3 linked regions of the Schizosaccharomyces pombe genome follow. Changing the gene in region 3 together with the main gene of any one other region gives a genetic interaction. Each region holds a gene or a part of one and is shown on either strand. Other genes may lie near its edges.

Evidence for each region.
Region 1: mutations in tho3 (region 3) and get1 together harm fitness more than expected from each alone (negative genetic interaction), as found in Schizosaccharomyces pombe (2 studies listed by BioGRID).
Region 2: mutations in tho3 (region 3) and pab2 together harm fitness more than expected from each alone (negative genetic interaction), as found in Schizosaccharomyces pombe (2 studies listed by BioGRID).

What each region holds. Positions count from the first base shown.
Region 1 is NC_003423.3:4,317,069-4,321,069, reverse strand, and holds get1 (GET complex subunit Get1), read right to left. Parts: upstream 2,162-4,001; 5' UTR 2,124-2,161; coding exon 2,037-2,123; intron 1,989-2,036; coding exon 1,622-1,988; exon of another isoform or gene 1,529-1,621; coding exon 1,467-1,528; 3' UTR 951-1,466; downstream 1-950. Other genes in the region: SPOM_SPBC16C6.01C (lysine methyltransferase), read left to right, coding at 1-950; m-AAA protease Yta12, read right to left, coding at 2,461-4,001.
Region 2 is NC_003423.3:1,938,722-1,942,760, forward strand, and holds pab2 (poly(A)-binding protein Pab2), read right to left. Parts: upstream 2,068-4,039; 5' UTR 2,036-2,067; coding exon 2,000-2,035; exon of another isoform or gene 1,949-1,999; coding exon 1,695-1,948; exon of another isoform or gene 1,640-1,694; coding exon 1,552-1,639; exon of another isoform or gene 1,496-1,551; coding exon 1,373-1,495; 3' UTR 650-1,372; downstream 1-649.
Region 3 is NC_003421.2:737,361-741,043, forward strand, and holds tho3 (THO complex subunit Tho3), read right to left. Parts: upstream 1,920-3,683; 5' UTR 1,896-1,919; coding exon 1,869-1,895; exon of another isoform or gene 1,807-1,868; coding exon 1,533-1,806; exon of another isoform or gene 1,490-1,532; coding exon 1,398-1,489; exon of another isoform or gene 1,346-1,397; coding exon 1,277-1,345; intron 1,235-1,276; coding exon 990-1,234; exon of another isoform or gene 945-989; coding exon 866-944; exon of another isoform or gene 800-865; coding exon 656-799; downstream 1-655. Other genes in the region: protein Thc1, read right to left, coding at 160-510; replication checkpoint kinase cds1, read right to left, coding at 2,042-2,321, 2,394-2,602, 2,641-2,850, 2,916-3,175, 3,244-3,328, 3,374-3,405, 3,473-3,521, 3,613-3,683. UniProt on the Schizosaccharomyces pombe protein: Component of the TREX complex, which operates in coupling transcription elongation to mRNA export.

The sequences.
Region 1 (4,001 bases), on a different chromosome or scaffold from region 3:
ATCAATTGGTCCGCCCTTACTTTTATAAACATGCTGATCTCAAACAGCTTTGTCCAAAATGGAATCAGTATTTAGAGACTTGTGTTCTCGTCCAAAGCAGGTGTTTTTACGTTAACAGCTACTACGGTTTATCTTTAATACCCTTTTTCGATATTTTTAATCACAAGTCTGGTCCAGCTATTGCTTCGCTACATTGTCAGGAGTCAAATGATCATAAAGGCGATATCAAAATAGAATTTATTTCTTTTCAGTATATACGAAAGATGTCCGAAATATTCAACTCCTTCGGAAACTTTGCCGCTGATGAATTGTTCACGCAGTATGGATTTATTGATACCGCTTGCAAAGTTTGGCGCGTCGACATGACAATGATTGCTTATGAAACTAACAGAAATTTTTATATGGAGTGGATTCATAAAAAAAGAATAATCAACACCCAGGAGTTGCTGGTCACCCCAACTACATACGCAAATGACAAGTCTGAGACTTTACGTTCAGTAATGATAAGACAACCTATGGATCTTTATATAATAACAGATCATGGTCCCAGTTACGGGCTTTACTTATATTTATTTTTTTGCATTTACAAAATCAAATTCCAAAAGTGCGATATGAATATAGTAATGCTTACAAAGTATTTTAATGAAATCTGGGCTGTGTTTATAGCACATAAGGAGGGAGAAAAAGAAAAGGTTGTTGCTCAACTCTCTGGTTTTTCTTTTTATTGTAAGGCTATAGAATTTCTACAGATGCTGTGTCAAAAGCGCATTAGTCGTTTCAAAAATGGTGGGTTGACTGCTGAAGCTTATAAGACTCTATTGTGCGATCCGACTCTTAAACGAGAGAATAGGTCTCGTTTAGTCTTACAAATTTTTTATCATGAACTTAATTTACTCGAAAAATCAATGCAAGAAACAATTTATCTTTGTACTGAAAATTTTGAAGATTAAAAAAACAACATACAACGGTTGGAAATGTTGCATAAAAGGAAAAGGTAAGATCGAAGTTCAGCTTAAATTTTAATCATAATTTTGTGCCCTTCTTAATTAACATTGTAGTAACTTTATGATGTTTTCCAAAACCCTGCATCGTTCCCTTTCTAGATGTCCTGTGTAATAAATAACCTATTTGCCATTTCAAACTTTCGGTATAAACAGCATCAGAAATATGAAAGCGTCAAATTAAGCAAATGAATTAGTAGGCATAGAAATAAGAAATCCGATGACAATTTAGATGAAAACCAGTGTAGAGCACATAAAGTGTACAATTTGTGAAGGAATAACATAATATTAATCGTGCATGGTAAACTATGCTTTCCATGGCATTCTTTCTTATGAGAAAAGGAAGTAGAAAACGCATTTATAAAATGACTTTACTGAAAATACATATGGCATCTTTTTCCCTTTAGTTAATTAAACTAAATGATAAAATATTAAAATTAGTCACCGTCTTTGATGATTTGGAGATCAAAATATCCCGGAAATAGTTTTTTGAACCGCAAAATTCCAAACTGTTAAGCTAACCGATCCTACATGCCATGTTAGTATTTCAGCTGCCATTGTGATAAATGAAAATAAAAATAAAAAAAAGATTTTCAGAATTTTCATTAAAAACAACATACCGTAGATTGATCGTGGAAGAGATAGCACCCATAGAGCCCAAGAAGGAAGCAAGAATGCAGGGAGGAAAAAGACAGGTGTTTTGGACTCTTTGAATTGAATATAAAACCGGAATCCACGGGTTAAAATCCAAAGAAAAAGGCTTAAAACCCGCTTGAAAGTATCTTGGAAAATTTTAACATTGGCTGATTGTTTTTCCCACTCTTGACTGAGTTGTTCATACTTTCTATTCAGACGGGCCCATTTAGCAAACTGATCTTGACTGCTAGTAGCGTTTAGCTCTTTCTTAACAGTAAGCAGCTGCTCTAAAATTTCTTTGTTCTTCTTTAAATCTTTATTATTAGAAACACTAACGTAAATTCGATAAGCCTTTCACATTATTAGTTTTCTTTACAACAAGTATATATGTTAAATTACCCCATCAATAGTCCTTTTTTTTGCAAATTTATCGAAGAAATGAATAAATAAGCTTAATAAAATTGTTGAAATAATCAGATCCATCATAAAATATGGACTTGTAAGAAAGTACAGTGGTTAGTGTCAAACGTGTAACTGTTGAGTATCACGCTCCCTATGACATGCTGGTCTAAAGGTCGAAACTAAACACAAGTTTGTTTGTTACGATATTAGCTATTTTGTGTTAGAAAATAATAATCTATTAACCTTTTAAAGTTCAGAAGAATTGATGTTAAGTATATTTATCTAGCTTCTGTAATATTAAATAGAAAAAATAGATAAAATAGCTATATGATATTCAATTGACAAATACTTTGATCATGAGATCCATGAAAGTAACTATTTTCATTCATAACGCTTTATTTAAATTCAGTAAATTGACAAATTAGGCAGAAGGTTGTTGAGGAGATGGGGGGATTGGTGGATTTCGAGGATCGTGATCATTTTTATACTCAGACTGACGCATAAGTTCAGAAATATTTAAATGTTTGTATGCATATGGCCTTGGTCCAAGAATCGTCTCAACTTCGTTATAAGTGATGACTTCTTTCTGTAATAGACGTTGAGCAATATTTTCTAAGCCTTGCTTATGTTCTAGCAAAAGTTTCTTAGTTCTTTCGTATGCATGCTTTACAAGCTTTCGAATTTCTTCATCAATCATTTGAGCTGTAGCCTCAGAAAATGGTTTTTGAACAGTTTCCCGAGTGTCGATGGGATAAGCTATAGTACCAACAGTCGGAGACATACCATATTGGGTCACATACGCTTGAGCCATGCGCGTTACTTTTTGAAAATCATCGGAAGCTCCCGAAGTAATCTTTTCTGGTCCAAAAAATATTTCTTCAGAAACACGCCCAGCCAAAGCCATTCCCATTTGATCTAAAATCTGCCCTCGACTCATCAGATACTGATCTTTGGGTAAATAACTAGCATAGCCAAGGGCTTGAGCTCTAGGAATGATTGAGACCTTCAATAGTGGATCGACGTACTCCATAAACCAACCAGCTACCGCATGTCCAGCTTCATGATGAGCAACGGTGTTTTTTTCTTCAGGACTTAGTACCCTACTCTTCTTTTCCAAACCTGCCGTGACTCTTTCAATAGCTTGCTCAAAATGTACCATTTGGACTTCATTACTATTTGATCGTGCTGCAATTAACGCTCCTTCATTACATACATTCATTATATCAGCTCCTGTAAAACCAGAAGTTAGGACGGCAAGACGCTTGGCAATTAAGTCGATGTTATCGGCTGCCTTAATATGCTTAAGGTGGACCTTAAATATTTGTTCACGACCGCCAATATCAGGACGATCAATCGTAATTTGACGATCGAATCGACCAGGACGTAGAAGTGCCGGGTCCAATACGTCTGGTCGATTAGTACCAGCGAATACGACGATATGTTCGCTAGACGTAAAACCGTCCATTTCAACTAATAGCTGATTAAGAGTGCTTTCGCGTTCATCATTGGAACCAAATTGTCCTCCACGTCCTCTTGCTTTACCAATTGCATCAATTTCATCTATGAAAATAATACAAGGAGCGTTCTTGCGAGCAGTAGCAAAAAGATCTCTTACGCGGGAAGGTCCAACACCAACAAACATTTCAAGAAACTCAGAACCTGACACACTTAAAAAAGGGACGTTAGCTTCACCAGCGGTGGCTTTAGCAAGAAGAGTTTTACCGGTACCAGGAGGACCAGAAAGAATGGCACCACGAGGAATTTTAGCCCCCAACCTTTCATAAAACTTGGGATTTTTTAAAAATTTGACGAATTCCATAATCTCTTCTTTAGCCTCGTCAACGCCAGCGACATCAGCAAATTTTATTTTGATATCAGTTTCATGATTAAACATCTTCGCTCGGCTCTTACCAATTCCAAAAATGCCACCTTGACCACCTCCTGCGGCACCCGAAGCCCGTC
Region 2 (4,039 bases), on a different chromosome or scaffold from region 3:
TTAAAGATACTAAGCGTTCGCTGGCTAAACAGCAACTTTATATGTAATTTAAAAAGGCAAAGAGAGTGTTGAGGAAATCGACCAATTTATCTTTTTCGTTGTAGAAGTAGTAAACCGATATACGATCTAAATTGGCTCTTTTTATAAATCGACAGACGAATGCTCGAATGCTCGAATGCTCTCTGGAATATCCTAGTGTAAATACCTGTTGGTTGGCTAAATAGTGGATCAATAGGTGTAACTCGCAAGTTCAGCGAATATCCGCTCAGCTAATATTTGGCAAATCGAAAGAGTAAACAAAGGTCATCGAATCTGAGTGGCACAGCGTAGAAACGACTGACTTGATTATCCTTGTTACTTTTATTTATCGCTTCCCTATACGAGTTGGGTAAAAGGCAGGAAGGAAATTATTTGTACTGGAATCCGGAATATGCCGCAGGTAGCTAAAAGAAATTGACTCGACATGTACAATATATGAACATAAAAATCGACTATGTAAAAACTACTTAATTAGATATACACCAAGCTTTTTTTGTTAAATGTCATTTTACATCATGATGACTAAAAATTAATTTCCTCACAATTATTACATATAAAAATGAACTTGTAGACTTAGAAAAGAAAGTCATACATTTTCTATATAAAATCATTAAACAGAATCAAGAAATTTATTAGAAATATAAGAAGATCCTCAGCATTAAACTCTCCAAAGGAGAAGAGAAGAACGTTAATGTGTTTCACTATATTAAACACAAAATGTAATGGTGAACACAGAGAAGTATCTCCTCATTACAAAAATATATATATAATGAAATTATACATTGGTAGGTGTTTAGTTTTATTAATCAAGAAAGGAAGGAGATGACTGTAATATGTGATACGGTGTATAGAGTAGCTTCCTTTTCTGACCCCTTTTCTAATCAAGCGGATCAAGATTATGACGAGAAATTAAGCTGAGCAAATAAATTTTCAAAAACAAAAAAAAGAAAATTTTGAAGATTATGAACGTGCATCAGAAGCATAAAAACGACAATATACAACAAAATTTTATGAAGCTGGCATTGTAAACACAAAAATGCAATCAACTAGTCCATACCCAAGAGGAATTGAAGGGTCGGTGAATTACATTATGTCAGCATATATGTTTTAATATAGTGAATGGGATCATGACTTTAAAGGAAACCCGTGTAATCCAACACAAAAGAATAAACAAGGAATATAAACATTTAACGAATGAGTTGAAAGAAATACTAGTTAATTTCCAACATACTGTTAAATGTCATTTCTAATCTTTTCCCACCTAACTGTTATTGGTGACGATTTGAATGCTCATAATTCATTTTTCACTTTTTCAAGTCATCAAAGCGATTACCTAATACGGAGCGAAACCACGGGCTCTTCCACGATATCCTCCTCTGCCACGACCCCGTCCACGTCCACGTCCGCGACCACGACCACGGCTCATACCAGGAACGTTTGTCCGCTTGGGTGTAACCTACATTTCAAGTTAGAATGCATGTTGCTGGTAGTTACTGTGATTGTTTTACATACCTTTAAAGGTCGTTCATGCAACATCGATCCATTTAATAAAAGAGCATTAGGCACTAAGCTTGGTTCACTGAACTCGATGTATGCAAATCTACGAAACTAGGTTAGCTGTACATTCCAACGTCATCCACAAGTTCGATTCATACCCTTTTGGATGTCCCGTAAACTTGTCACACAAAATGGTAACGCGATTAACAGATCCACAACTAGCAAAATGACTTTGCAACTCCTCTGGAGTAACACTGTAATCAACATTTCCAACATAGACACTTTGAGCATCAATGGATTCCTTATCGTTTCTCAAAGCTTCCGTTTCATTATCTAGTTGTTCTTGCATGGCACGAAGCTTTGCAGCCTCTGCTTCCATTTCAGCAACTCGCTCTTTCATTTCCAATAGTTCCTAATCATGTAAGCAAATAATTCCACCATACTACACAGTCTGAATTCCTACCTTTTCTTGGGTATCTAAGGCATCTTGATCACTCATTTTTTCAAATTTTCTGCTACACGCGTGTGGTTGGAAGTAAACTGTTCAACCAGTATTCTTTAGCATGTTGAGGGTGACAAAAGTTTCCCTCTATGCTCTCAGAGTAGCGACGCTTTGTTTCGCGCAAATTTACAATAGCGTATGGCACGATTAGAGACGGAAAAACCGATTTCTGAATGAAACAGCACAATATGGTGTAATATTTTCGTATTCGTTAATACGTACAATATGTGTTTAACGAGGATTTGGACTGCCTGCTTATAGTTCGGATGCTTGGTTAAGATGAGAGTGCTCACAAGTAAGTAAGGTGAGGTTTGTGGACATTTTTGTATGGCGTGTTTGGTTTTATTGTATTGCTAAAATCACAATTCATAAGAAAGCGATCTTTAAAAAACAATTAAGGAGATTGACGGGATATGCCGTTAAATGTTTAGTTTTTGGACGTAACGAATACCTAAGTTGCTTGAAGAGCTCTCCCACTTGAAGTGAAATAAGTGGAATCCTAAAGAAATACGATAAGACGTGATAAAGTATGGCATAATGTAGTTCTTTCATGGAACTTCGAACTCAATTATTACACACTCTTCACCATTGATATACGTATCCAGGGTTGGTATTATCTTCATTAGCTCGATAGCCAAGGGTGATGAATTACAAAAATATAGAAAAGGGATATTTTTGAATGGAAGTCTATTTAAAATAACTTCCTGTTTTTTAATTGATTTCTTTAATAATATTCCGTATTTTTATATAAATTAATTTATTTTTTCTGATTTTTACCATTATTTCTTTTTTTACTTTATTTTGTAGTTTTTTGTGTTTTTTTTTTTTTGTTCAGCAACCCATCTAACGTAATGCTATCGTTTATATTAATTGTTTTTTTCTTCTTCTTTTGTTTCTACGCTTTAAATGTAAAAAGAGTCCAAGTCTAAATAAACCAATTTTTTTTTTTTTTTGCCTGGGGATACTAATAATTTAATAAAATGGAAATTTCCCAACAATGTTTATCTATCAACCACAGCAAGCCGTTCCCAGCTTAACTAATACTAGAATAAAACAAATAATAATAAAGCATCAAGTAACGGTATATTTCGTTTCATATGCGAATTGTAGAACCAATACTACAGATACTTCACTATTTATTTATCCGGTAGCAGTCTACCATTGATTACCTTCTAGACACCGTTGACGATTCACATACCGAAGCGGAGAAAATTAATAAATCAGAGTTTTAACTCAAAGGAAGCTTCTATGATCCCTTCCAATCTCGTACTTCTATTCAAGGGCCTATATATCTCTTGATATTTAATTGCTATGGCAGCTTCCTTAAACCAAGCAACATAATGATCAAACAAAAAGCAAATTGTTAGGCAATTTTAAGATCATTTCATTAAAATGTACGAAATAATTAGTTCATATTCGAGGCTTATATCTTTCTCATTATCGAACATTTTCCATCGTTCATCTATCTACTTTGCTATTCTAGTTAACAGTGGTTACTTGTGCATCTAAAACGATCGGTGAAACGAAGATAGAAACGAGAAAAGAATTCAATAAGATGAGAAAAAATAATTAAAACAATTAGTAAAAATGAAAATAGATTGTAGACGATAGCATATGTGTCTATAAATTAGTATATACGACTTGTTCTATTTTATATTTATTTATTTATCACGCACAAGTTTAAGGAGAAATAATGCACTACACAGTCACGTTATCATAGAATAAGGAAGAAGAAGTCAGAACGGGATAAATTGATCACGAATCTTCCTTACCAACTCATCTACTATCTCGACATAATTGTGCTATATTCCACTAAATTTCGTTAAATTCTCTATCGCAATCAAAGGAACATCAGCACTAAAAAGAACTCCTCAGGGGGGGCGGATAACTTTACCCTCTACCAACAACAACCAACCAAGGTTCTGTTTTCTGCTACATTTCTGGGTTCAACATGAGAAAATTTGCTTAACAAAATATTAATACACACACGATCTAAGTGAA
Region 3 (3,683 bases):
GCCAACTAACAGTTGCAATTTTAAACCAGTTGGGTTAATAAAAGATTAAAATTAGGTTTTTAGCCAAACGAAATTTTATAAAACACTCGGCTGTCCGAAAAGTTGTTGGATTGCGATTAATTTTTCCGGTAAGTTTAAGCTGTGTTCTAATTTATCTGTTTAACCTGAAGTCAAGAAATTTTGTAGTGGAATAATTCTTTTCCTTTTACATAAACGAAGTACCTCATCGTGCGAACCGTAGAATGGTTTAATGATAGCATTCAGTTGACTGCCCCAACGAAGTGAATCTAAGTAAGCCTTTTGAGCTTCCTGCGGCGAAGAAAATGTCAGGTAAGCTCTCATACTATCCTTCCAAGTAATAATTAGATCAGGTTGTTTAAAATAACTTCTTAAAACGCGTTCTGTAAGATAAAGTCCTTGTGCACTTAAAATGTACGTAGAATGACTTTCAACAACTTCTACTGGACGTTCAATATGCTTAGATAAAGAAACAGTATTTTTCTCTTCCATTCTTCAAAACTTTTGGTACCAAATAAGCTAAAACTACAACTTCAATGAATATTGAAGGTATCCATGCTAAGAGTATAGGGTAAATACTAAGTAGCCGTTTTTTTATTGTTGATCAGCGTGAACAAGATTGCCAATTTTCAATCATTTATAGCCCAAATATCTTAAGACCACTAGAATTAGGCTCCGATACAGCATATGCTAAAATATGTTTTGTTGGATGCCAAGCTACCTTGTTCAGAGGTCCATTAGTTGGAATTTTCCAAATTTGATCACCAGTTTTCGTATCAGCCTTCCAAGTTAGTTTATTAAAAAGAATAAAAATAAGAAACGGTTTCAAACATCCTGAAATACTTACGATATCCACATAGCGGTCCTCTGATCCACTAGCTAAATAGCGACTGTCATAACTAAAGCTTAATGTACGGATGGGATAACTTTTTAGAAGTTAGCGACCAAAAAATTTAAAAGAAACTACATACTCCATTCTAGTAATCGACCGTTCACAAATCAGTTCTTGTGGATCCCATAAACTAGTAATTGCATCTGCACCACCAATGGCAAGGTGCCTGTTATCCGGACTGAATTCAATACAGAAACAATTTGAGTTATGCGCCTTTATATCGTAAACTCTTTTTAGAGAAGGCCATTCCATAATTTGCACCGTGCCAAGTCCTGTAGTCATGAAAAACAAATCTTCACTGAATGACCAACAGCATTCATTTGTCTATTAATCGTAAGCAAAGTTATTATTGGTTTAAAAACAAACCTCACAAGGTTGTTGGAATGTCTCCATTATTCTTCTTTCCCGAGCATCAATAAAAGACAACATATCATCCTAGCATTCAATTAGCAATCGTGCGTTATAAAAACTTAAAATATTCTCGTACCCGACTACTAGCACAGCAGTAATTTCCACTTGGACTCCAGGTTGCATAAATATTCTCATAGTTGCTTTCTATTTCAGCGATAGGTTTGGCGCCTGAATAAATAGTTAACAAACAGTCAAAGACTTCATTGCATACTTCTAAAGTCCCAGAAACGGATCATTTTCCCAGCATACACAGCCATTAACCGATCAGAATGCGTAGGATCCCATACTAGTTGTTCGACAAGACCATATCCTCTGTTCCCTAATTCAGTAGTAAATTTAAAATCCAAACGATCTGAATTCCAAACAAGTACTGATCCTGAAGATGAAGAACTCGCAAGTCTCGAGCCGGAAAGATTCCAGCCTAGGGAACGTATAGGTCCCTGTTGCCCTTGTAAATCTCGAGTTTTCAATTCGGGAAACTTTGGCTAAAAAGAAAAAAGAAAGTTTTAGTATTTTATGCTCTAGTTTTTATAAATCATTAACATACAAGCGATTCTGTAACTGAAGCACACATGGCAAAGATCGCGTCGAGACGTCCAAAGGGATAGTAGTACGTGGACAGAGTGGTTAGTGTAAACTTACTGTCTATTTACAATATTATAAATTTGACGGTCTAAGTATAAAAATTAATTATCATTTAGAATACTAAATATTAATAATCTAACTCGAAGAATTGAGCTGTTCGGTGGCCTCATGTTCAGACGATGATGGTGGAGTACGATGTTCGTGTGTGCTCACAGTGTAAAACCAAGGATGCTGGAGAGCTTCACTTTCAGATATTCTTTTCTCTGGATTAATTTCAAGCATCCTGTTGATTAAATCGATTCCCTCTTCTGAAATTTCGTTTTCTAATAAAGGCTCTATCGGATATGCACCTTTTGATATCAACTCAATACATTTTGCTTGTGACGAAGATGCAAAAGGAATAGACGCAGTAAGCCTGTGAATTAGTAATTGGAAAAAATTAAGGCATGAAGGTTCATTGCTAATTGATTAAAGCCGACAAACTTACATCACATATAAAACACATCCCAAACTCCATATATCAACTTTATCATCATAACCTCCGTCCAAGTTGACGTTTTTTGACTTCAAAACTTCCGGTGCTAGATAACCCATTGTCCCGCAAAATGTTTCTAAAAAGGTTCCCGTCCCATGAATAACTTTAGCCAAGCCAAAATCAGATATTTTAAGATGGAAATCATTTGTTATAAGAATGTTCTACAAGTTAGACTTTCTTATCAATAAACAAGATATACCTCGGGTTTTATGTCTCTATGTGTCACACCCTGCTTGTGCAAATGTAAAAGCGTTTCTAAAAGTTGTTTGAGAAGAGGTTTACAGTCTTGTTCGTCGATGGAGCCATTAGCAATTAAAAAATCCATAAGATCCCCACCCTCAACATATTCCATAACAATAAATAACTCGTCATCATTTTCAAAAATTTCATGGCATTGTACAACTCCTGGCTAAAAGATAAGTGTTAGCTAGGAGTTTTTCGTATAAAAAAAGGTGAACATAAAATGATACTCACATGGTGCAAAGATTTTAATATATCAATTTCTCGTTGAAACATTTCAGTAGCTCGCTTTTCCGAACTTGTCAAAAGGATTTTTCGTTTGTTGATAATTTTAATAGCATACCACTTGCCACTATTCACTTCTACCGCTAGCTTGACAACTGCAAATGTACCACTTCCAAGTGTACGAATAATTTCGTAATGACTGTTCTCGGATTTAATCATGTTTTTCTGGGAATCTCGTGAATGTTTAACTGGTACCTGGCACAAAAAAGCTATAAGACTGTAAGCAAACTTGAAGTGAATTCTACGTCAACAATCTCCTTCAGTGTAAAGGACGTACAAATTTCATCTTTCGGCACACCTAGGCCAATTCGAATTTCATCTCCGTTTGACAAGATAGTTCTACTATTCTTGGCAAGCCGTTCCTAAATGACGTCAGTAAATTGTAAACGAATTAAGCTCTCGCTTACAAAATTCAGAAATGTTCCATTAGAAGAGTGGTCTGAAATTGTTAGAAAAGGTGGAAGAGGCAGAAGACTTTAAAAGATTTTTTAATCCTTTAGACTTACCGTGTAAAAAAACGACATTCTCAGATTCATCGGAATCATTTCTATGCCCCTGGGTCATTTCGTTAGATAATTATGTCTTAAAGAGATTGAAGTTCAATTAAAACTAAACGAGTTCAGCTGGCCACTATTATTTTATATACCTGATAGATTTCAAAATGAAAGTTGCTAACTCTAGGTCCGTTTAAAACCACTTCACAAGATTTATGACGTC